Lepisosteus oculatus: one gene and its partners. Each later gene encodes a partner of the first gene's protein in a complex. Links are inferred from orthologs where the notes say so. Each region holds a gene or a part of one and is shown in the gene's direction. Other genes may lie near its edges.

What was found.
Region 2: nod2 (region 1) and pkn1a share a complex: the UniProt entries of both Homo sapiens proteins name them as parts of the signaling complex. The link is inferred for Lepisosteus oculatus from reciprocal best matches to the Homo sapiens genes NOD2 and PKN1.
Region 3: nod2 (region 1) and dual specificity mitogen-activated protein kinase kinase 3 share a complex: the UniProt entries of both Homo sapiens proteins name them as parts of the signaling complex. The link is inferred for Lepisosteus oculatus from reciprocal best matches to the Homo sapiens genes NOD2 and MAP2K3.

Annotation. Positions count from the first base shown.
Region 1 is NC_090715.1:2,169,758-2,177,244, forward strand, and holds the start of nod2 (nucleotide-binding oligomerization domain-containing protein 2), read left to right. Parts: upstream 1-4,473; 5' UTR 4,474-4,978; coding exon 4,979-5,461; intron 5,462-6,139; coding exon 6,140-6,263; intron 6,264-7,193; coding exon 7,194-7,487. Other genes in the region: snx20 (sorting nexin-20), read right to left, coding at 1-41. UniProt on the Homo sapiens protein: Pattern recognition receptor (PRR) that detects bacterial peptidoglycan fragments and other danger signals and plays an important role in gastrointestinal immunity.
Region 2 is NC_090706.1:13,882,357-13,890,058, reverse strand, and holds the start of pkn1a (serine/threonine-protein kinase N1), read left to right. Parts: upstream 1-4,694; 5' UTR 4,695-5,159; coding exon 5,160-5,300; intron 5,301-5,812; coding exon 5,813-6,113; intron 6,114-7,173; coding exon 7,174-7,319; intron 7,320-7,456; coding exon 7,457-7,580; intron 7,581-7,702. UniProt on the Homo sapiens protein: PKC-related serine/threonine-protein kinase involved in various processes such as regulation of the intermediate filaments of the actin cytoskeleton, cell migration, tumor cell invasion and transcription regulation.
Region 3 is NC_090714.1:4,276,552-4,284,481, forward strand, and holds the start of dual specificity mitogen-activated protein kinase kinase 3, read left to right. Parts: upstream 1-4,922; 5' UTR 4,923-5,428; coding exon 5,429-5,450; intron 5,451-7,930. Other genes in the region: protein NATD1, read right to left, coding at 504-603. UniProt on the Homo sapiens protein: Dual specificity kinase. Is activated by cytokines and environmental stress in vivo. Catalyzes the concomitant phosphorylation of a threonine and a tyrosine residue in the MAP kinase p38.

The DNA of each region.
Region 1 (7,487 bases):
AGGCAGGGACCCATCTGCCCATCATCACAGGTATCCCCCATTGGCAGAACAGTCTGGGTCTCCCTGTGATGGGACACAGAGTACACAGAGTCCTAGTGTCTTACTTCCATTGCAAAGGACATGAGACACATACAGTATAGTCAATGGATATTGTATACAGAGTCCTAGTGTCTTACTTCCATTGCAAAGGACATGAGACACATATAATCAATAGATATTGTAAACAGAGTCCTAGTGTCTTACTTTCTATGCAAAGGACATGAGACACATACAGTATAGTCAATAGATATTGTATACAGAGTCCTAGTGTCTTACTTTCATTGCAAAGAGCAGCGGGCACAACTGGAAGATATGAGGAAGCACACTGAGGACTGAGAATTGAAAGCACTCTTTTACAAACAGGGGATGGGTGCCTGGAACAAGCCACCAAGATGCTGGATTGAAGCCGATTCCCTGTGAACCCTTGAGAAACAGATGGATGAGATCTTGCAGCCAAAACGGGTGTGATGAGCTGAAGGGTTTTTAATTTGTTACCATTCTGATTTTATAGCCATCTAGGAGTTGTGATGCTTTCATATTTTATCTGAATTTTGCTCGTTCTCTAACTGGAATGTTATGATGGAGAATACGGGCATTTCATATACTACAAATAATCTTGATATGGACATGCATAAAAGCCTAGCTTTGAAGCACAGTCGACAATTAAATTAATCTGCACGTTTCCGATATGATTAATTGGGTTGTTTCCTAACCATTAGTCTGTGATTATCCTGTAAGTGATTTCTGAATAAAAGAAGAAGAACAGTGTCATGAATGGGACAGGGGAGAGAGCACAAAATTTTAGAAATATTTCTCTGAGGCACTGCTTTGTCTTTAGAGGTCTCCATTGGAAACAACAACTTAGAAATGCAAACTGCACTTGGGGAAAGATCCGGAGGTCTTTTAAAATCAATCTGTGCTTTCATTTTCTTAAAGGAGTGATGTAGAGAATTTAGAAATTCGTGTTGCGCGGATATCTCTGGGAAGCGCAGCAAGAGCCCAGGCTGTAGCCTGTGGATAAGTGAGTGCAACTGGGCTAGAGATCAACCAGCTACAGCTGCAGTTCTGCAGGCAGAGCTGAGCTCTCCACTGCAGTCAAGGTCAAATGGAAATGAAAACCCATACGAATCCAAACTACACAACCACAATGAAAGCTTTGTGTTTGAAGAATAATTAATCAGTTTCCCCAGAGAAACTAGATAAACTCAAATGTATTCTAGGGGGTACCCGTCCTTTCGAAGTCGTTGCTATTAACAATGCTGTTGGTGTACTTAACTGAAAATTCCTCCTTTATGGGATAATAACATTATTTTACTTTTTCTTTCACTTGATCCACAGTCTAGCCAAAACACTGGGCTTCCTCTCTCAAAGGTTCTCTCTCTGTTTGTATCCCAGCTGACAGTTTGGCGAGTCTGTAAAATGAGGAAGTGATGCTCTACATGGCTTTGTAGTATAGCACCTCTGTGGACAAGCGCGGGTCTGAAACCAGCATAAATTGTGACGAACTGGGTTTTACCCCTGGCCTCTGACCTCTGAACTCTGACCTCCTACAATACACTTGGCTGGTGAGCACTGAACCTCCCTGTTCTGTTTGCATCAGGAGCTGAAATATAACATAAAACTGGGCTGCTTACCCGCACTGCCGTGCCAGTGTATTCCTGTTAATGTTTTCAGTTCCACACCATGCTCACGTGTTGCGCTCTCTTACCAAGGATGAATATGCCATATTGACGGAGGTGAGCATCCTGTTAGCCTGGGCGTTCTGGCCCTGCAAGGTCACGCTAGACTCTGTCAAATGGCACTGCCTAGGGGGAGAAAAAGAGAAACAGGTCTCGGGCTTTGAGGAAGGAAGTGCTGGTCTGCGATGTGTACTGTGATTGGTCTGCGCTCACACTGTGGAGAGGGGGTGGAGGTCTGTGTGTGCAGGGAAGGAGTGGTGCTTGTGTGTGCAGGGCAGAGATGAATCAGCTGGCTTCTGAGTCAGATCTTGCAATCGCTTCCCTTCACTCGGACCCACCAAGGAAAGTGGCTCATACCAAGAGCAGGACCAACCCCTTAAAACAAGCAGGCTAAAAAAGCCAGAGGCCAGCTCTGGTGCTGCTGACTTTCCAGTCCAGTGGGCCATGTAAGGTAATTTAAGTATCGTAAAAGATACTTTAGAACAAAAATGTGAATACCCCTCATCTTGTGAAGGAAAAGGTCATTAAACAAACTATTTGTTCAATTTGATCAATAACTTCAAAGTGTTCTAAATCTTTAGATGCAGGAGACGGGAGACCTGAACTAAGTAAATGTAAGGATCTCCAGGATCTGTGTCAGACATCTCCAACCCTGATCCTGAAAAGCCCCAGTCCAGACTTTAGAGGCAGCCTTTACATCATCAGTTTCTGAAGGAACTGGTGTATTTAAGACATTCAGCGAGACAAGTGGTCCTCTCACTGACCCATTACTTGCTTAATTGATCAATTACTTAACCAAGTGTCTCTAATCCTTACATAACAGGTGATTGAGGGGTGATCTTTAATAATATCTGGTTTGAGGCTCAGAATGACCAGGGTTGGAGATTCCTATGGTAAGTGCCCCCCCAACCCCACTTATTGAATTGAAAAAATGTCTTTAAATGTGTCAATATGAGCCAGTAGCAGCTCTCCTGATGTTTTTAATTGCAAATGTTCCAAGTGTTCACACCTGGATTTCTGTGTTCCAAAATCACAGTCACTTCCCCTATTACCATGTTTTAATATATTCTAAGGACAATTATGCTTGGGACCACTGGAATACACAGTAAAGCAGTGTTGCTCTTCAAGTGGTAATAATAAAGTTTAGATACAAAAGAAATCCAAACGCGATCGGGCACCTGTTTCTGTATGTGGGGGCGGGACGGAATAAGGTGTCGTTTGATCACTGTAGACCAGCGGATCCCAGCCCACCTTCATCAGAGAACCGAAGTCTTACTTGATCTCAGAAGTTGCCTCAATTGAATATTTGCATTTTATTTCATTTACGAAATTACACGGTTCAAGTTCCAACATGCTTAAGAGCTGGGGAACAGGCAGTTCAAATTAATCTTTTTACTACTAAGTCAATGGAGGGTTTGACTGTATAACTGAGGACTCGGCTGGGACAAAACCAACAGGTGTGTGTGTGGGTCACCGGGACTGGAAGCTTTTACTGTAGGACAAGAATGCAGCTGACACGTAAGAAATTGTCTCGTCTCGGATTTTTTAATCTTGTCAGCATTTGCCTTTTATGTTAGTTTCGGTTGTCCACGTCTGCGATGTTGGTCAAAGAAACGTTTGGATTTAAACCTTATTTATACGCAAAATAGGCTCCAGATTTGATTCTCGAAAAGAAACGGACGGTGAAGCTGAAACTATCCGACTCCTTCAGTGCACCGGTGCAGCGAGTTAACGAGCGTCTCCAGATTGTATGCCGTCCTGCGTGCCGCCCCTCACGGACCTGGTTCCCCAGTAAGGCTTCTCCGTCTGTTTGTCCTCTCAGGGAGTATCTTTTAGGGATTCTGTAAAACACGCGTGTGTGTACATATATATATATACAGTATACACAGTCATCAGTCTAACACCCTAGATCCACGAGGCCGCTTGCTGGAGACGCTTCTCCTTTACGGTCAACATTGACACTTCGTGCGTGTTTATTTGTACTGTTGTACGTGTTACAACAATAATATAGTAATATAATCACAATAACAAATATCAGTGAACAGAACTCCAACGCTGAGAAAATTTAATGAAGACCGCTTCTTAGGAGTTGATAGACTCGTGTAATAGACTCTATGAGGGATAAACGTCAATCCCGCATTTTGACATCTTTAGTGAATACAATTAAAAGTGCGGTTTTATTCTCTTACATGCAATTCCTTACATCTTAAGTAGAACCTCCAGGATTAACCAGCGCATGTTTTATTCCGGGCCAAAATGATTGTGTAGTTCGCATTCAGCTGAAGCTGGGGAAAACAGCCAGACCCCGGCAAAAGTGATATGAAGGAAGGCGGATGAAAAATAAAATCCAGTTATCATGAAAAAAAACATTTAACGAAATCAGTAGTTAGGAGCCGAAAAGTCTTGGGACGCCATTTAACCTGAAAAAGGATTCTCCGGTAACAATTTGACTGGCACGTACGAAAATAACAGAAAGCGTTCTACAGGACCGTCAGACTTCACAATTAAAACCTACAGGTGATTTTGTGCCACTTCTACAGTGACCTGCTCAGCAACCTATTCAGAGGTTGCACCAAATTAGCATTGGGCTTGTGTCCAGGGGCGTGTTTTGGAAATCTGAAATTGCTAGATTGCAGCTGTCTTTAGTAAAAAAGGAGACATTATTTTCATACTGAATTTAAGAACACCCCCCATCGCCTTTGGCACACCTCTTCCCCATTTCACTTCTTTGCCGTAGGTCAATTTCTCGACTTTGCCAGGAGGTCGCACGTACTGTGAGTCGCGCTGTCTGCCGCGTTGAGAGCGCGCTTTCACGGGTCACAGGTCTGCCGAGCACACGGGGAGAACCCGGCCTGTCGGGCATTTTCTCCGGGTAGTAAAGGCAAGGCTTGGTGCATTTTCTCTTTCGTTTTGAGGGAGCTGTTTGCATCACGAAGGGAAGTTCTTCATCACTGTAAGTACTGTATGCCAGGAAGGCGATGCTTCCTGTGCTGTTTTGCAAGCGCCACTTTGCTGTGGGTGTGGAGCTCCAGTAGTGTCAGAACTGTTGAGAGAGCTCAAGGAGGTCAGCAATAGTAATCGACTTCAAGCCGCCCACTGGCGCAGCCAGATCAGGTCAGTTTCGCCTGCTGGGCTTCTGTCCGACTGCCTTCTCAAGTCGAGGTCAGTAACTGTGCTGTGGAAGTCTTCTGTCTTCCAGCAAGCTGGAGTGGGGCTGCTGTCTGGCGGGAGTCTTGGAGGGCCGTGCTGAAGGATGAGGCATGCGCGCCCAGCTCTTGGTGCAGACGCAGAGGACTGAGCTGGTGAGGGTGCTGGGCGGGGGGGCGGCAGACGGGCTGGAGAGCGTGTTGGACCTCCTGCTGGCCTGGGACGTCCTGCTGGGGGAGGATTATGAGAGCCTGCGGGCTCCGGGGCAGGCCTTGCACGTTACTGCCCGGGAACTGCTTGACCTCCTCTGGAGCAAAGGAGAGATGGCTTGCCAGTTCCTGCTGACAGCTATCGGCCAGGTGCTCCCGCAGGATCAGAAAGCTGGCTTGTCCCTGGGGAACTGCAGCTGCCCGGTCAGAGGAGCCGAGCAGATCCCCTCCACTGGCACTCGGACCCTGCAGAGGGAGCGGCCCAGTCTCGTGAGGAAGCTCCATGGCAACACTGGTGGGGCTCTGAGGACCCTCAGGGAAGCAGGTTGCTTCAGCGCTTATGACTGCGATGAAGTCCTGTTGCCCATATACACACCCTCGCAACAGGTAAGGGAAGCCGAGGAATTTGCACTTCATCAGACAAGTTTTGCATGTCTCTTTTCGCAGGATTTGAGAGATCTGTCTGGATCCAACACCTTCCTGTGCACATAGGATTTTCAAATTACGCTATTAGCTTCTCAATGTTGCTGCCTTATGAAATTCTGTGCTCACAAGTCTGGTCTGACGGGATCAGTCCTGTACGCAGTCTTCATGATGGATTCCTGAGCTGGGATATGATGCTTTATATAAACATTGATAGTTCACATAAATAAATCCAGCACTAAGCAGTCATTGTTGCCTTATTTCTGAAAAGACGTGTTCTTTTAGTGTGGTTCTGTAATACTATCTGTTAAATATGAACAAAACTGCCTTTTCCTGGAGAGACAGAGCATGGCTTTCATACCGCAGCATTAAAAGGAAGATATGTGCCCTAACAGTAACTGAATGCAGTCAGATTAATGCACAAATCACATTTCAGTTGAAGTGTGAGAGAATGCAGTGTACATACACATACGTCAAGTGTCAAGAATGTGCTGGAGGCGGCTGTTGGTTCTGTGGTCCGTGCACCAGGAACCTGCTGTTGGGTCTCTCTGGTCTGGACACCTGGAGCCTGCTTTTGGTTCTGTGGTCCGGACACCAGGAGCCTGCGAGATGCCGGTGGTGTCAAGCGTCTGTGTTGCGCAGGCCAGGAGACTGCTGGATCTTGCCGGATCAAAGGGAGAGGCAGCAGCTGAGGTCCTGTTGTCATACATCCAGCAGACAGGAAAAGGACCCACGCAGCCTCTGACGGATGACACACACAAACCAGGTATGTCTGGGAACAGAGTGGGCAACATTTAATATCGAATCATTATAATTCCATTCATCAAGCAATCCATCGCTTCAGTTTCTGGCCACTTCATTCAAATCAGGGCCGTGGGGGAGCCAATGCCTATCCCAGCATGCAGCAGACACAATGCAGGATACTTCCTGGACAGGATGCCAGTCCATCAGAGGGCACACACAGAGTCGTATACACTCACACTAGGACCAATTTTCCCAGAAGCCAATTGAGCTGCACTTGTTTTTTTGTACTGTGGGAGGAAACTGGAGCAGCTGGCAAAACCCCAAGCGTACCCAGGTTTACAAACTATATACAACTAACTACAAACGCCACACAGACAGCACCGCAGGTCCAGAATCTAACCCAGGGCTCCAGCAAAGCTCCCCACTGCGCCATCGTGCGCACCATCCACCCAGAATCATCATATTGGGAACATTTTGGTAAAACCTGTTCTTGGACTCAACCAAACCAAGTGTTCATCTATTGGGGGGGAAATCAGTCCTGTTAAAACTTTTTTTTTCTCCCATTCAGTGCTGTGAACACTGGACTAGTTATATTGGACAAAACTGGTGCAATTTCATTTAAAAGCCTGATAAGCATTAACATGATCACGGAACAGGTAAAGGTTTATTCCAGGCTGAACGGAAAAGAAAAGAGACTCATCGTTTTGTCCGTGCAGCCTCCTTCAAGTGTCCGACCAGTGTCGCATCTGAAAAAGGCTCCACAGCCCAAACATTGCGTCATTTTTCTTTTCCTTTCAGCATGGAATTAACCTTTACCTGTTCCTTTGCAGCCCACACAGCTGCCTACTTGAACTTCTTTATCGTGATCACTCCCTTTCCTCAAAACCTGTTTCAGCAGTGCTATTTTTGTGTTGCAGTGATAAACATACAGTGCGCTGGCTTTGTTTCCTAGATCCGGTTCCTCTGACATACCAGAGGAAGCTGAGAAGCATGGTCTCAGCCCAGTCTCGGTTCCTCAGCATGTACGGTGGGATGGAGAACCTGTCTCTGGAGGACATCTACACGGAAGGGGTGCTGGAGGTTGCGCAGGGTTCTGGGGAGCCACAGCGACCTCTGGGCCTGGAGGACATCTTGTCTCCCGTCGGGGTCGTGAACAAGGAGGCGGACACAGTGCTGATATCGGGCGAGGCTGGAAGTGGGAAGAGTACTCTGCTGCAGCGCCTGCATCTGCTGTGGGCTGGAGAGG
Region 2 (7,702 bases), on another chromosome or scaffold:
CTCTCCGGACAGCCAGGTCTGCCTGTGTCCAGTTACTATGGCCAGGCTGTGGTCACTGAGCCTGTCCTCTCTGGACAGCCAGGTTTGCCTGTGTCCAGTTTCTGTGGCCAGGCTGTGGTCACTGAGCCTGTCCTCTCTGGACAGCCAGGTCTGCCTGTGTCCAGTTTCTGTGGCCAGGCTGTGGTCACTGAGCCTGTCCTCTCTGGACAATCAGGTCTGCCTGTGTCCAGTTACTATGGCCAGGCTGTGGTCACTGAGCCTGTCCTCTCTGGACAGCCATGTCTGCCTGTGTCCAGTTACTACGGCCAGGCTGTGGTCACTGAGCCTGTCCTCTCTGGACAGCCAGGTCTGCCTGTGTCCAGTTTCTGTGGCCAGCCTAGTATCATTGAGCCTGTCCTCTCTGGACAGCCCAGCCAGGTCTGCCTGTGTCCAGTTTCTGTGGCCAGGCTGTGGTCACTGAGCCTGTCCTCTCTGGACAATCAGGTCGGCCTGTGTCCAGTTACTATGGCTAGGCTGTGGTCACTGAGCCTGTCCTCTCTGGACATCCAGGTTTGTCTGTGTCCAGTTTCTGTGGGCAGGCTGTGGTCACTGAGCCTGTCCTCTCTGGACAGCCAGGTCTGCCTGTGTCCAGTTTCTATGGCCAGGCTGTGGTCACTGAGCCTGTCCTCTCTGGACAGCCTGGTCTGCCTGTGTCCAGTTTCTGTGGCCTGGCTGTGGTCACTGAGTCTGTCCTCTCTGGACAATCAGGTCTGCCTGTGTCCAGTTACTATGGCCAGGCTGTGGTCACTGAGCCTGTCCTCTCTGGACAGCCAGGTTTGCCTGTGTCCAGTTTCTGTGGCCAGGCTGTGGTCACTGAGCCTGTCCTCTCTGGACAATCAGGTCTGCCTGTGTCCAGTTACTATGGCCTGGCTGTGGTCACTGAGCCTGTCCTCTCCGGACAGCCAGGTCTGCCTGTGTCCAGTTACTATGGCCAGGCTGTGGTCACTGAGCCTGTCCTCTCTGGACAGCCAGGTTTGCCTGTGTCCAGTTTCTGTGGCCAGGCTGTGGTCACTGAGCCTGTCCTCTCTGGACAGCCAGGTCTGCCTGTGTCCAGTTTCTATGGCCAGGCTGTGGTCACTGAGCCTGTCCTCTATGGACAGCCATGTCTGCCTGTGTCCAGTTACTACGGCCAGGCTGTGGTCACTGAGCCTGTCCTCTATGGACAATCAGGTCTGTCTGTGTCCAGTTTTTGTGGCCAGGCTGTAATTACTGACTCCATACTGGTCCACCACTCACAGCAGATCCCAGTGCTGACCAGGCCTGGTGTGTGTGTGTGAGAGAGAGAGGGAGGGCTCCAGCCTCGTCTGAGGCAGTCCACCAGGAGCAGAGGTGTGTGTGTGTGAGAGAGGGCTCCAGCCTCGTCTGAGCCAGTCCAGCGGGGCTGAGGGTGCTGCTGTCTCTTTAAGAGCGGCGATGAGCGATCAGTCCCCCGGCTGTGGCGTGCTCTGTGGCCTGAGAGAGAGAGGGAGGGAGCGAGCGTGGAGCCCCGAGCGGACGCGTGCCCACGTAGGGACACAGCAGGCATGGATGGGGATCACTGTGAGTGTAGGTACCCTGCCACGCCGACGGGCCGACCGGCCGGGGGGGGAGTGGGGTCGGCGGGCCAGGTGCTCTCGTTTCCTCCGGCCCGGCTCTCTCTGCTGCTCCCGGCGCGCGGCAGCAGGAAGTGCTCCGCTGTGCGCTGGCGGTTCCACTTCCGCAGAGGCTCGCAGACGACTCGGGGTCCTCTGCAGACGGGGGGACCGGACCCGGGTCTGGCCTTGGGGGGGCGTCGCTTGGGGGATGGGTGAGGGCAGCGGTGCCCGCTGACCTGCCTCGGCAGCGCTCTGTGGGCAGAGTTCCTCTCCTGCTGTTCGAGGACGGACGTCCCTTCTCTTCTGATCGCCTCATTGGTGAAGCCCCTCTGCCTGCCCTTCCTCTCTTGCTGCGGCACGCAGAGCAGCGCAGGAGCAGACAAGCTCCTGCAGCTCTCAGAATAGATCTCCTCGCTCTCCGAACTTTCTCTTCTGCAGTGTAGCAATCAGCATGTGGTCCGCTGTTGAAATGCTGGCCGACAGACACTGATGACTGGCAACGATATTAACTGCAACTGACAGGCTGATACAGCAGACTGACTGACTGACTGACACAGGGGCCTGCCGACTGTGACTGACTGACTCACTGACACAGGGGCCTGCCAACTGTGACTGACTGACTGACAGACACAGGGGCCTGCCGACTGTGACTGACTGACTCACTGACACAGGGGCCTGCCGACTGTGACTGACTGACTCACTGACACAGGGGCCTGCCGACTGTGACTGACTGACTGACTGACTGACTGACACAGAGGCCTGCCGACTGTGACTGACTGACTCACTGACTGACTCACTGACTGACTCACTGACTGACTGACTGACTGACACAGGGGCCTGCCGACTGTGACTGACTGACTGACTGACTGACTGACACAGGGGCCTGCCGACTGTGACTGACTGACTGACACAGGGGCCTGCCGACTGTGACTGACTGACTGACACAGGGGCCTGCCGACTGTGACTGACTGACTGACACAGGGGCCTGCCGACTGTGACTGACTGACTGACACAGGGGCCTGCCGACTGTGACTGACTGACTCACTGACACAGGGGCCTGCTGACAAACACAGGCAGGGGTTGACACAGGGACTGGCTGAGCTGACAAACAGCTTAAGCACAAGCGGTGCTCGAGCTTGGCGACGTCTCTCGGCCCATGCCCGTTCGCCAGCGGTGATGCATTGGAGCCCATTGATCTTGCGGCCTGTTCCCCGCGTCTCTGCTCCGGCTTCTCGTTCCTGCTCTGAAGCGCGTCGTGTTTCAGCGGCCAGTTCCCTCTTCTCGGTTCCCAGTTTCCCCTCCGGTCTGCGTGCGTCCGGATTGAGGAAGGGGGCGGAGAGCTGGGGCGCTAGCAGACGCGGGCGGCCCGCTCGGACCCTGCAGTGGTGGCCGGGAGGGGGAGGCAGCCATGGGGGCAAGAGAGCAAGAGAGATGCCGCCACACGTCCGTGCGCGTGGCGTATGGGCAGCAGGAGCGCCCCGGCTGAGCCGAGCCCCCCGCGTGCCGGTCTGACGTCTCCCCCCCCACCCCCACCACTGCGTTTTCAGAAGCGAGAGACGAGCGTAGCGTCTCGACCTCTCGCCTCCCGGAGCCAGTGACAGCAGGAAGGAAGCTGTGTGGCTGAGCTTGCAACACGTACCAGCTCAGTCACTCTCTCTCTCTGCCTGCCGTCCCTCCATCAGCAGTTAGAGAACAGGAAGTCCCCGGGTGGGGCTGGCGCAGATTATTTCTCTGTTTCTCGCGCGGCAGCTCGGGACCTTGTGCTCTTTATTTTGTTCCAAGTTTCGCCTGTTTTTTTTTGTCCTCCCTCCCCTGCACATCCAGTCCGGGTGGGAGCGGCCAGTGCCGCGTGCCGGCGAGGGAGGGGTGGGGGGAGGCCTGGGAGCGTGGGATTGTGGGACTCCAGCGATGTCCAGCGAGGAGGGCCCGGGGCCCGGGCCGCGGGCGGAGGAGAGCGCGGCCGACGCTCCGGAGATCGAGACCGCGGTAGGGCAGCTCGGCCCCGCGGCCGCCGGCGCTCCAGTGTCCGTTGGCTGACGTCGCGGTTTTCGGTTTCTCGCCGCCGTCCCTCTCGTTCTCTTGCTCCGCTCCTGTGTCGGCCACTCCCATCTCCCCGCCGGGGCCCCGTGTGTGTGTGTGTGGCCCCGCGTGGCCCCGGGCCTCAGCCTCCAGGGACGGGGCTGACCTGTGTGTGTGCGATGGGGGAGGGGAGAGGAGGGTGCTGTCAGGACGGCCAGGCGCAGGCTCGGCACCGCGCAGGGATCACTTCCATCCTAATCTGTTTATTTTTCTTTCTGATTCAATTGTCATCGATTTGAGAGGTCAACAGGCTTCAGTTTTCCAGAGAGTTGTCATCCTGAATGTGTCTCATTACTATGTGACTCATTAGTTGTTATATGAACTCGTACTTGTTAAACCCAGTGCTAATCTGCTGAGAGCAGGAATAGATAGCAGCCTCGCATGTCTCCTCCTGACATCACAGAGCACAGGCCGGACTGGACTGACTGTACTGTGAGCTGGATTAGTTACTAACTGAGATTATAATCAGACTCACACTGACCGAGCAGTCTGAGACTCTCCAGGGCAGGACTGGACTGACTGTACTGTGAGCTGGATTAGTTACTAACTGAGATTATAATCAGACTCACACTGACCGAGCAGTCTGAGACTCTCCAGGGCAGGACTGGACTGACTGTACTGTGAGCTGGATTAGTTACTAACTGAGATTATAATCAGACTCACACTGACCGAGCAGTCTGAGACTCTCCAGGGCTGGACTGGATTTACTGTACTGTGAGCTGGATTAGTTAATAACGAATTAACAGAGAGAACTCTCCTACTATCAGAGCATTTGGTGACAGGCTCGAGGGGATGTAGTCAAATCCCTTCCACACCCCCTACTTCCAATACATGTACTGTTTGGCATAGGGTTCTGTTTCCGCCCGGACTTCGCTGGCTCAGATCTGGGCTATCCTAAGGGTCCTGACACTTAGACAGATCTGCTGAGCGTGCTCTGAGGCAGCCTGTGAGTTTGCAGTGTACTTGCCACCTCTCTGTCTGCCCTCTGTGGTTCATGGAGCGACAGAGGAGCGGCATGCCTCTTCATGCTCACTTAGGAGGATCTGGAATGTTGTGAGAAATATCAGGAAAAACGGATTTCAGTTTTTCAGGCATCAGGTTACACAATAGACAAAGGCATTATTGCGGTGTGGTTCTGTACAGTTGCAATAAAATTATGTAAATGAAGGAGGAAACTTTCAGCGCAGAACCAAAGCTGTGCTGCGTGGAGAGAGAGGAGACCAGATCTTCTGTAGACATGGGCGTCTTGCGAGTCACATGACCAGTGACCTCACACTCACAGAGCTCCTCCTGATGGGCTGAACGCAAGACATGTTTCACAGCACAGAAGTCAGGTTTGCTCTAGGAAACATGGGAAGAGCAGATGGACACGCTGCCTTCTGGGTGTCCCCCAAAGCGGAGGTGTGGAAACAATAACTGGCGAAGTTTTTAGAGTTTCAGAAACGCTGTCCTGTCTGCTCTCGGAGGATGCAGAAGGCAGGGGCTTTCCAATCCAGCCTGGGTCAGAGAGAGTGCAGCGTCCGTCTCTATAAAGAAACAGAATCCTTTATTCTGCAGCAGTCTTGCAGCCCGGTGCTGCTCTCGGAAGGCCTATGGAGGAAACAGGAAGTGAGTCAGTCTGCGCTGCAGGCCGAGGGCTGATGGGCCCCTGCAGGGATTTAGACCAGACTGTCTTCTGTAGTTTGTGTTTGCGCTGTGTCTCTGGGAAGAGTGTTCAGGGGGCACAAGAGTGAACTGTAGACAGTGACGGAGCTCTGTCCCTGTCTTGCTCTTTCTCTGTTTCTGCCTTCCTCCCCCACAAGCCTTTTCTGTTCTGTCCCACAATCCCTCTCTCTGTGGACATGGCTGTCAGCTGCTTCCCTGCTTCTTTCCTCCTAGCTCTCTCCCTCCTCTCTCCCTCTCTTTACCCCTTTCTCCTCCTTCTCCCTCCCTCTCTTCTCCCTGTCCCTTTGTCTCCTGCATCTTTCCCTGCTTTCTCCCTCTCTCCAACCCTCTCCTCCCTCTCTCTTTCCCTGAGTGACATGTGGACAGAGGTGTGTTGTCAGTTTCGCAGCAGCTGAGCTCTCTTGCCTTCTCCCTCAGTCTCTCACAATACCTCCTCCTCTCCTGCTCTCTTACAGAGTGATCCAGCGGGCCTGTCGGTTCTGGAGCAGCTGGGCCTGGACCAGAATGCGGACTTCTCGGACACCAGCGTGCAGCAGCGCCTGGACGAGGAGCGGGAGCGAATTCGACGGGAGATCCGTCGGGAGCTGAAGATCAAGGAAGGGGCGGAGAATCTTCGGCGGGCCACCACGGACAAGCGCAACCTGCAGAGCGTGGACACCATGTTGAAGAGCTCCAACCGCCGCCTGGACGAGCTGCACGCACAGCTGCAGGAGCTGGACGCACACATCGTCGTCAAGGGCCCTGACGAGATCAGAGGTAACAGCAGCACTGCGCTGAGACAGAGCTCAGTGAGCGAGTGTGCCATCAGAGCTCCGCGACCGAGTGTGCCGTCAGAGCTCAGTGTCAGAGCTCTGTGACCAAATGTGCCGTCAGAGCTCAGTGTCAGAGCTCTGTGACCAAATGTGCCGTCAGAGCTCAGTGTCAGAGCTCTGTGACCGAGTGTGCCGTCAGAGCTCAGTGTCAGAGCTCTGTGACCAAGTGTGCCGTCAGAGCTCAGTGTCAGAGCTCTGTAACCAAGTGTGCCATCAGAGCTCAGTATCAGAGCTCTGTGACCGAGTGTGCCGTCAGAGCTCTGTGACCGAGTGTGCCGTCAGAGCTCTGTGACCGAGTGTGCCGTCAGAGCTCTGTGACCGAGTGTGCCGTCAGAGCTCAGTGTCAGAGCTCTGTGACCGAGTGTGCCGTCAGAGCTCGGTGTCAGAGCTCTGTGACCGAGTGTGCCGTCAGAACTCAGTGTCAGAGCTCTGTGACCGAGTGTGCCGTCAGAACTCAGTGTCAGAGCTCTGTGACCGAGTGTGCCGTCAGAACTCAGTGTCAGAGCTCTGTGACCGAGTGTGCCGTCAGAGCTCGGTGTCAGAGCTCTGTGACCGAGTGTGCCGTCAGAGCTCAGTGTCAGAGCTCTGTGACCGAGTGTGCCGTCAGAACTCAGTGTCAGAGCTCTGTGACCGAGTGTGCCGTCAGAGCTCGGTGTCAGAGCTCTGTGACCGAGTGTGCCGTCAGAGCTCAGTGTCAGAGCTCTGTGACCGAGTGTGCCGTCAGAGCTCGGTGTCAGAGCTCTGTGACCGAGTGTGCCGTCAGAGCTCTGTGACCGAGTGTGCCGTCGGAGCTCTGCGAGCGACGGTGCCATTGGAGCGCAGTGACGGAGCGTACCATGGGAGCGCAGTGACGGAGCGCAGTGTCAGAGCAAGGCACAGTGACAAAGTGGTATAGTGCAGTGACAAAGCAGGCAGCACAGTAACAGAGCACAGAGCACAGTGACAGTGAAGCCCTGGTGCACTGTCGGAACTGTGTAAGAGACAAGCTGTTTGTCTGTTCCCAGATGCCCCTCAGTCACCTGGTACAGTGAGCCGCTCCTCTGCCAACCAAGACCGCATCGCCGCTCTGGAGAAGCAGCTCAACATCGAGCTGAAGGTCAAGCAGGGGGCAGAAAACATGATTCACATGTACTCCAACGGCTCCACCAAGGTATGGCTCTCCAGCACTCTCTCTCTTTCCTTCCTGGTGCTCTCATGTAGACTCTGCCACCGTAGACTCGCTCTGCCCTTCTTTAGTTCAGACACATTTCAGGCCTTCGTGCTTCCCTCTCCCTCTCTCTGCTCCAGGACCGGAAGCTCCTCCAGACGGCACAGCAGATGCTGCAGGATAGCAAGACCAAGATCGACATCATCCGCATGCAGATCCGCAAGGCAGTGCAGGCCAACGAGCTGGACACCGAGGACAGCCAGGGTCAGTCTGTGTCTCTGTCTGTCTCTATCACTGTCTGATGAGCTGGACACTGAGGACAGCCAGGGTTAGTCTGTGTCACTGTCTGATGAGCTGGACACTGAGGACAGCCAGGGTCAGTCTGT
Region 3 (7,930 bases), on another chromosome or scaffold:
TGACATCGTTCCCCCCACCCCGCTTCGTATTTTAGGGCGACGTGAAGGCTGAAATGTAAAAGAACAGGGGAGGAAGGCATCGCTTTCGGTGACAGGAAACTGAACAAAACAAGGTCTAGAAGAAAACTATACCTCAGCTGCAGCGAGGGGTTTTAAGCAACAAGCCGGGAGTTTGCAGTCTTTTCGTCGCTCCGTGAATTACCGGAACCAACCGCGATCACAACCTCCCCGGTCTGAAAATGGAGATATCTAAAAACACATTTTGTGTTGTGTTTGGGGAGGGGGTTATGGGGGTTAGAGCAGACGTCGCTAGTTTTTAAACTTCAGCTTTTACTCCCGCACGATTACCGTTGTTAAAACGACGATGCGAAACGAGTACGGCGAGGATGACTCGTCAAAGCAAGCAACAACAACACGATTCTTCAAAGTGCTCGTTTGGAAACAAAGGGAGGGGGGGGGAACTGCAGTAAAGTGCATTTGCAATCGCGATCTCCGGACTTTACCGTTTAATCTAACAGTGAATTGCCTCCTCTTTCTGTCGTGCTCCACTTTGATCGGGCAGTTGAGTTGTTCGAGGACGTTAATCTGCGCTGCCTGGGCCATCTCTATTATTTCTGTTAGTATTTTCTCCCGAGATCATGCAAATAGGTAATCAGTGGGCTACGAAGTAGGGCGAACTACGACGGAGAGGATTCATGATCCCGTAAACTGACAGAGAAGTGAAGAGAACACATTCTCCAGCCCCAGGAAATCAGCTGGAGGGACACGTGGGGCGCTGTGGCCAATCAGCACCCGCAGCAACTGTTTTGATCCGCTGCGCTGCTGCTGCGTTAAAGGAGCAAAGCTCTCCCAGGCTCTGCCGGCGCAAGGAAGGCCAAGGGCCCCAAATGTCGTGCCCTCCGGCTCCAGTGCAAGCCCTGGAGATTATAGTGTGAACACAGCGCGACAGCTGTAGGCACGGCTCTTGGCATGACCGGAGCCGCTGATGTGCAGGCAAGCGTGTCGCCTGCAGCTTTGCATGACTTGAGAGCTGCAATTAATTTTTGTATAACTGCGTGTAGACCACTGTCCAGTCACACACACACACACCCTGAGACGATGTGCTCAAGCTCTCAGTAGCCCAGGAAAAGTAAAAAAAAAAGGCAGATCCATGGCAGAAGTTCCTAGGCCTTAAACCCTGAAGCGACTGTTACTGAAATACATGACTCCCATGCGCGTACGGACACAATCAGCATGGAAAAACCAGAGGGACGCCTGTCTGGAACCGAGAGGTGTTGCCTACTCTTACACTCAGGAAGACATCAGCGAACACAAAGACACAAGCATCCATTGTCAAATCTTTAGAGAGCGGCCAATTAAGGATGAAATGTCACTTCGGTGCTAGGAAAACAGCTAAAGTACTCAGGGCACATACATGCCCATAGGAAGACTGTTGGTGTTGAGAACGCGTTGCTTACTCCAAAGATTGATTCCTGCACAAAAATCATAAATTGGTCATTAGCCTACCTAGTCTTTTACCTATGGATACAAAGTTTCAGTTTTTCCTGGGGGCCCCCTGTTAAAAAAGTGAGTGTGCCATATTGCGAAATGCCATTCACAAAATTAGCTGGCAGCTGCGGTAACACTTTTTTTTTTTTACCATATGTGCACAAGCAGCCAGCCTGAGGGAAGCTGTTAGCATTTGCTGTCCGGCTCTGGGAAGAATTGAAACTCTCCAGCTGTGAACTTCCGATCCCCAGTTTCTATATGTTAGCTACAAACCTCCATATCGTGGCCCACGGCTTTTGCACAAATCATTGAAGTTCTCATTCAACAAATACTACGATGTCTAAGCTCAGATAGTTGCATGCACGTGATACTTTTAAGATTTGTGTTTAGCAGGATGCTATTCTTTTATAAGAAACGAGAAATTATAGTTTTATAGTGATCTTACCACTAAGAAATCACAATGGTCTAGAACGTTAAGACCTATGTGACTGATTATGTTGTTGATCAATTAATAAGAAACTATGAGTCGCTGCAGCACCTCCTGATTGTTCCTTTGCATAAGAAGGCAAAGACTTTGGAAGAATTTGAAAAAATGCGAAGAATGCTAATTGAGCTTAAATGAGTTCCCTTCACTGACCTCCTCTCTCTCTCTGGGCTTTGCAGATAATACCGAATGATCCAACGGCATCGCTCGCAGTGAAGGTGAAGGATTACCGAGTCTACCTGTGGTTTGACCTCAATCTTCTGCTCCCTCCACGGACACCCTGTGAAGTCTCTCGTGGCAAAACGAATCAGTTTCAAAGGAAGATGAGCAGTCTCGCAGACGGAGAGTGACAGGAGCACCGCACTCTGTCACAGGCAAGCCGAATGTCATTTCTCAGGCTGACACTGCGTGAGGTGTGTCGAGTCAAAGGGCCTTTCTGACCACTTCAAGCTGCAGTATCGCGGCCCTTTTGAAAGATGCTGAATTATAATTAACACATTAGGATAAGCTTTCTTTAGGATCAAGGAAAATTCAAAGCTTTCTCTATAATAATAATAGGTTCTGACTTCACACCTTTCTTCACCTCTCTCCCCTTCACACTTCCTGAGTTGCCTCTCTGCTCCTCCTGTGTCCTCCCCTCTCTCAGCTTTTGTTCTTCTGTGCTATTTCATCTTTGCTGTCTGCCCTGTCTTTCTCGCACCTGAAGAAGATTTCACAGCCGAAACGTTGTTTTCTCTCTTCTCTTTTCAGCATGTAATAAACCTTTCACTTGTTCCTTTGCAGTCTACGCATGCTGACACAGCTCCCCACTTGTATTATTATTATTATTATTATTATTATTATTATTATTTGGCATGTAGAAGGTGAATACATGATGCCAGATGTTTTGGCAGTACAAAGATTTTGGCACTGGTGTCGGTTGCCATTCCGTGAATTTGCAGCAGGTTACTTTCCTTGTATCTGATAGGTTGGAAACATCCTGCTAGCTGAGTCCGTGTGTTGTGTCTGTATTGCAAATGAATAGCTGACTTGGTTGGTTTAAAAGACGAGACGATTCCCAGCTTTCTTGATCAAGTGTGCACTGCCGTAGTGGAGCGGTAGAGGAGAAAGTGGGACCTGGATAGAAACATTCTTGAAAAAATGGTTGATAAAAAACGAAAAACATTGTCTCTATGTGAACAGTAGATTACATGTATTAAACAATAATCCTATAAGTGAACAAAACAGTTTGATCCCGAAGAAGGGTCCACGGCCGAAACGTGTTCTCTTTCTTCTTTTTTTCCAGCATGGAATAAACCTAGTACTTGTTCCAAAACAGTATGATGCCCTAAATAATATTTAAACTTCCTGTGAAAATTAGATTATTGTTTAGGATTAGCACAGGGCATTTAGAAATGTAGAAGAAAAGATTAGAACAACTTTTCTCTCCAGCTGCAGATGAAATACCATGTTTTTTATTCCATGGTGTTCTCCACTAGAGGGCTCAATACCCTGTAACAAACCCAGACAACAAGTTCAGACATGCACTCAAGGTTTAGAGGGTTGTAGGCTCAAATTGAAGAGAGCCATGTGATCACTTCTACAGCACTGTTTACTTTTAGTCATTCAAGCTGCATGTCCAGAAAGTGAAGCCTGACCCTTGTTCAATCTAGGACTGCTGTCCAATGAAGTCTCTTTCTTCGTGGAAAGAATTGCAAGTACTTATTCATTTAGCATCTCATGATGCTGGAGAGGCGATTGATTCATGCCTTAAAATAGGCATTTTGAAATGTTTTCAAAGCATAATTAGCTTCTTTTACCGGATGCAAGAAGGGACTGCTTTGACAACCTTTTTTTAAAACAAAACTCTCATGATTTAGAAAACCACATCTAGTTTTTAATCCATCCATTCCTTTTCTAACCTCTTTAACTGATATGGGTCACAGGGGGGCCTGAGTCTATTCCTGGCCAGCATTATTTTTTAATATTAAAAGAAATATTAGGTGTAGAGATTTAAAGCACGTGTTTGAGACCTGAATGTAAAACGGTGTAAGAACAGGCTTGTCGCACCAAAGTAATCATAACGATGGCGACACATACTGTACATCGCTGCACAAATCTTTGACACTGAAGACTTGATCAGGAGTTACACTCTAGGAGCATCAATAACTTGCTCAAAGCCTCCATTACTGCTATTCCAACAACTTTGACTTTTATTTATGCGGCTTAGTTAAAGGGAGAGGAAGCCACGCTTTTCGTTTAGAAATCTTTTATTCACATTGAACAGGATCTTAAAAAATAAACAGCCAAAAAACAGGTGTTGTAGTACCTAATCCATTGCAATCACGAAACAGATCTGAGTGACTCATTGTCAGGTGCTTCTCTTGAACAACAATAATAAGCAAGTATTCTGTGACCCTGCAACTTACGTCACTTATTAATGCACGTGTAGAAAGAAGTTTGGAAAGTGTTTTTTGTGTAAATGCTGTACGACGCTGCAACATAATGACAGAATCCGCCTCACAGTCTGCGCAGTTGTGTAGTGAAACATGCATTGTACCAGCTCTAACGTCATGCCGTCAAAGAATAGCTGCTACGCGAGACTGGAAACTGTTTTTCTTTTTGATAGCACACGACCAAAAAAACAAGGTGCGTTATTTTTTTTTGCTTCACACCGCGCGTAATTCCGCAAGTACCCGTAACGCTGTCGGTGGAAACGAACGTCACGCAAGTACACATACTTCCATCCGGCGTGGCAGTTTTTGGAAAACACCCCACGAACTTGCCACTTCCTAAATCTCAGAGCACCAGCTCGCCAGCAGGAGGATGCTACACCCTTTCAGAGCAGCAATTCTCTTTCTCGGGACTCAAACTTGATAGAACGAGGGCCGGCCCGCTCGCCTCCCATTGGCCCGCAGCGCCGCCTGCCGCCTTCCGATTGGTCGAGCGCGCTAGTACGGTCTTGGATGACGTCATTGATTAAAACCTCCAGTCACCGAGAGAACGAACGGAGTCCTGTACCTTGTGGCTTTTGGGGGGGGTTATTAATGAATTATTTGTATTGTTGCTTTCACTTTTTCATTAATAATTTGGGGGAGCTTCTCATGAATGCCTCTACGCTGCTACGGCCTATGGTGTAGAAACCGCCGCTGGTGTACGGTGTGCTCTGGCACTGTACCGGTAACATAATTCTGGCATTGTTTCTTTGATTGAGCAACGACGATTTCTGCAACAGCGCACAGCGGACAAAAGTTGAGAGATCCGTCCCTCCTTGTGCGGTTCGGTTCGGCGATTTCCCTGCAGATCGAGCCTGCGTGCTCCTTGCAAGCCCGGCAGGATTGTCGTTGCATTGAGTCTCGGAAAACGGATACTGTTTCTGTGCGTGTATTGTCCACCCCCCCCAGCTCTTCAACAGGCGTTTCTGTACAGTGCACAACAAAATCAAAGGCTTGCACCTCGGAATTGGGAACCCACAACATGTCAATGTCCAGAAACACCGGTAAGTGAAGATCGCCTTAAATTGCTTATGGCGCTGTTTTGCTAATTACTGGACAGAACAAAAAAAAAGCAGTAAAGGTCCAGGTGTATCTGTTTCATTCAATAAAACAGATTATTGCAGCCCGCACATGTAGTTTAATTGCTTGTGGGCTTCAACCTAGGGTCGTGTTTGCCCCCTCTCTCTAATTCCCTAAGTATCGCCCGTCACGAATTCCCCGTCTAATTTCAGCCTTTTATTTCCAGAAACTACGCCGCTGGGATACAAGCAGAACAAATAATTCCTGTTTTATCTGCTTATGCGGAAACTTAAGCCGCTCGCTGGCTCAGTGGCGCGGCACGGAAAAGCATTATATATATATTAGCCAAGAATGCACGATTTAAACCGGGTCCCAGTTTGTTGTTGCCCAAGCAACGATTGAAAGAAAAAAAGCAGCAGCAAAGTTTTCTGGTGCATTTGGCCCGAGCCAGCTGAAGAGGGACCGGGCTTGTTCCTAACGATATTGAGGACACCGGCGTGCAGTTTGAGCTGCGACCTCTTGGGTGGTGGTGCAAGACCCGGAACAGCGTGCGCAGCTGTGTGGGTGTCGGGGGGGAATGGCGGGTCGGTTCGGGAGGTGGTCGAGGGCTTGGCCAGGAGCAGCTGGGCATTAGTTTAGGAAGTTAGAAAAGTAGGTTATCGCCGGGAGAGGGTGACGAACTGTTCACGTGACCGTGCGAACTCCGTGCATCTCAAAAAAAAAATACGAGACCAACGATTTTGTTTTTCTAGATAGCAGCAATATTCTGCAAGGACTACAGCAATCACAGTTTTGCTGGGCAGCGTGGGGGGTTCCGTCTGATTTCCTCTGTTCAAAACGTTAGAGACGTGATTAAAGGCATTGCGACTCATTATCAAAGGCAGTGAAAAACGGCGAGCACAGCACGGAGAAAAAAAAACCCGAGCCTGGTATCCGAGTCGCCTTAGAGCAGACTTCCTCCGTACCTCAAACCCAAGGGCACAGGGAAAGATAATTCCTACAAAGTATCCATGCCACTTTGCAAATCTGGGAAAGCCCACGCGAACGTGCGTTAAAACAGGTTGCCAAGGCGTGTTTGTTTTCATTGGGGCAAAAAAAAGGGGCTTTTCCTCCGTGTGCGCTGTGCTAGCGCCAAAACAACCTGCAATGAGTAAAAGTACGGGAATCTACACCAAGCACATGTTTATTTTGGGTGAAAGATTGAAACGGGTGTATTTTAAGACTTGGGCTTTCATTCTTACCTCTTGAATGGGACAGTATAACTTGCAGAATTCTGCACGCATAGCTTTAACGTCGGTAAATGGTATTTAGTCGCCTTTTTGTCGTAGTTGTCAGCACCTCTCGGTGTTGTCTTCCAACTCCTTAATTCCCCATTTGTCGTCTGTACCGTGCTCAGGTTGTGATTCATCTAGTGTTTTCTGAATGGCGTGGCTGACTCACTCTTGCTGCGCGTTTATATGCTGTGACTGAGAGAGGTGCTGGTGTGTAGGAGGCATGCGGTGCCATTTTTTTTAAAGGGACGAGACAAGTCAAGCAATCCTGCAGGTTTATTCCTATATGACATGACTTTCCTCTGCCCGAACTGCAAGGAAACATGTTCCACACAGCTCTCCCCAATTTTGCAACTTTACCCGTCCAGTGGAATTTGAACCATGATTACGATTAATGTGTCAACTGGATTGGATTCATGTATCAGTACCCCGATCCAAGTATCCAAAATCCTCAAAGGCCTCAACAAAGTCAGCCAATTGGATTTCTGCAGAATGAGCAGTAAAACACAAACCAGATGACCAGGAGTGGGGAAAGTGCATTTCAAATCGTCAGGTGTTTCATGAAGCAAGCCGTGGTATCTGCTTCAAATACATGGCTGGTCAGCTTGTTCCACACCCCCCCAACTCTTTGGATAAAGAAAGTGTTCTGGGTTTTAAATCACTTCCATGAAGTTTCGACTTATGTGCCCTGGTTCGTGTTTCACTGTTTATGCTGAAGAAGTCTAGAGGGTTGACTTTGTCAGTCTTAAAGCTGTGTTGGCTTTTTGGTTACTTTCATTCAGTCTCGGTATTAAATATTTTTCCTTTGCACTGAAAAGCAAATTCAAATAATTAACTAAGTTACTTGAAGGAGGCTACAAAAGCTCTTATTTTAGTGACTTAAGGCTCCAACATAGTTTAGGCATACTCTGTGGGTATAGCAGAATTCACAAGCCTGGATGATAGCAGTTGATATTAAGTTGATGCATGATTGCATAATAAACTCATTGTGGAGTCCATTGATCAATAAGTGTTCCAGTCTCCTTAAGGAGTAAGTCTGAACCTGCAAACATCATTATCAGCTCTTGTAGAAAATTAGTATTGACTTACAACAGCTGCCTGGTGGCAGTTTAGATGTTGGGCCTGAAGAGATACTTCATATCAATTGCTTTTCTGTTGTATGGCATTTTCAATGGCACATTATATTATTGGTT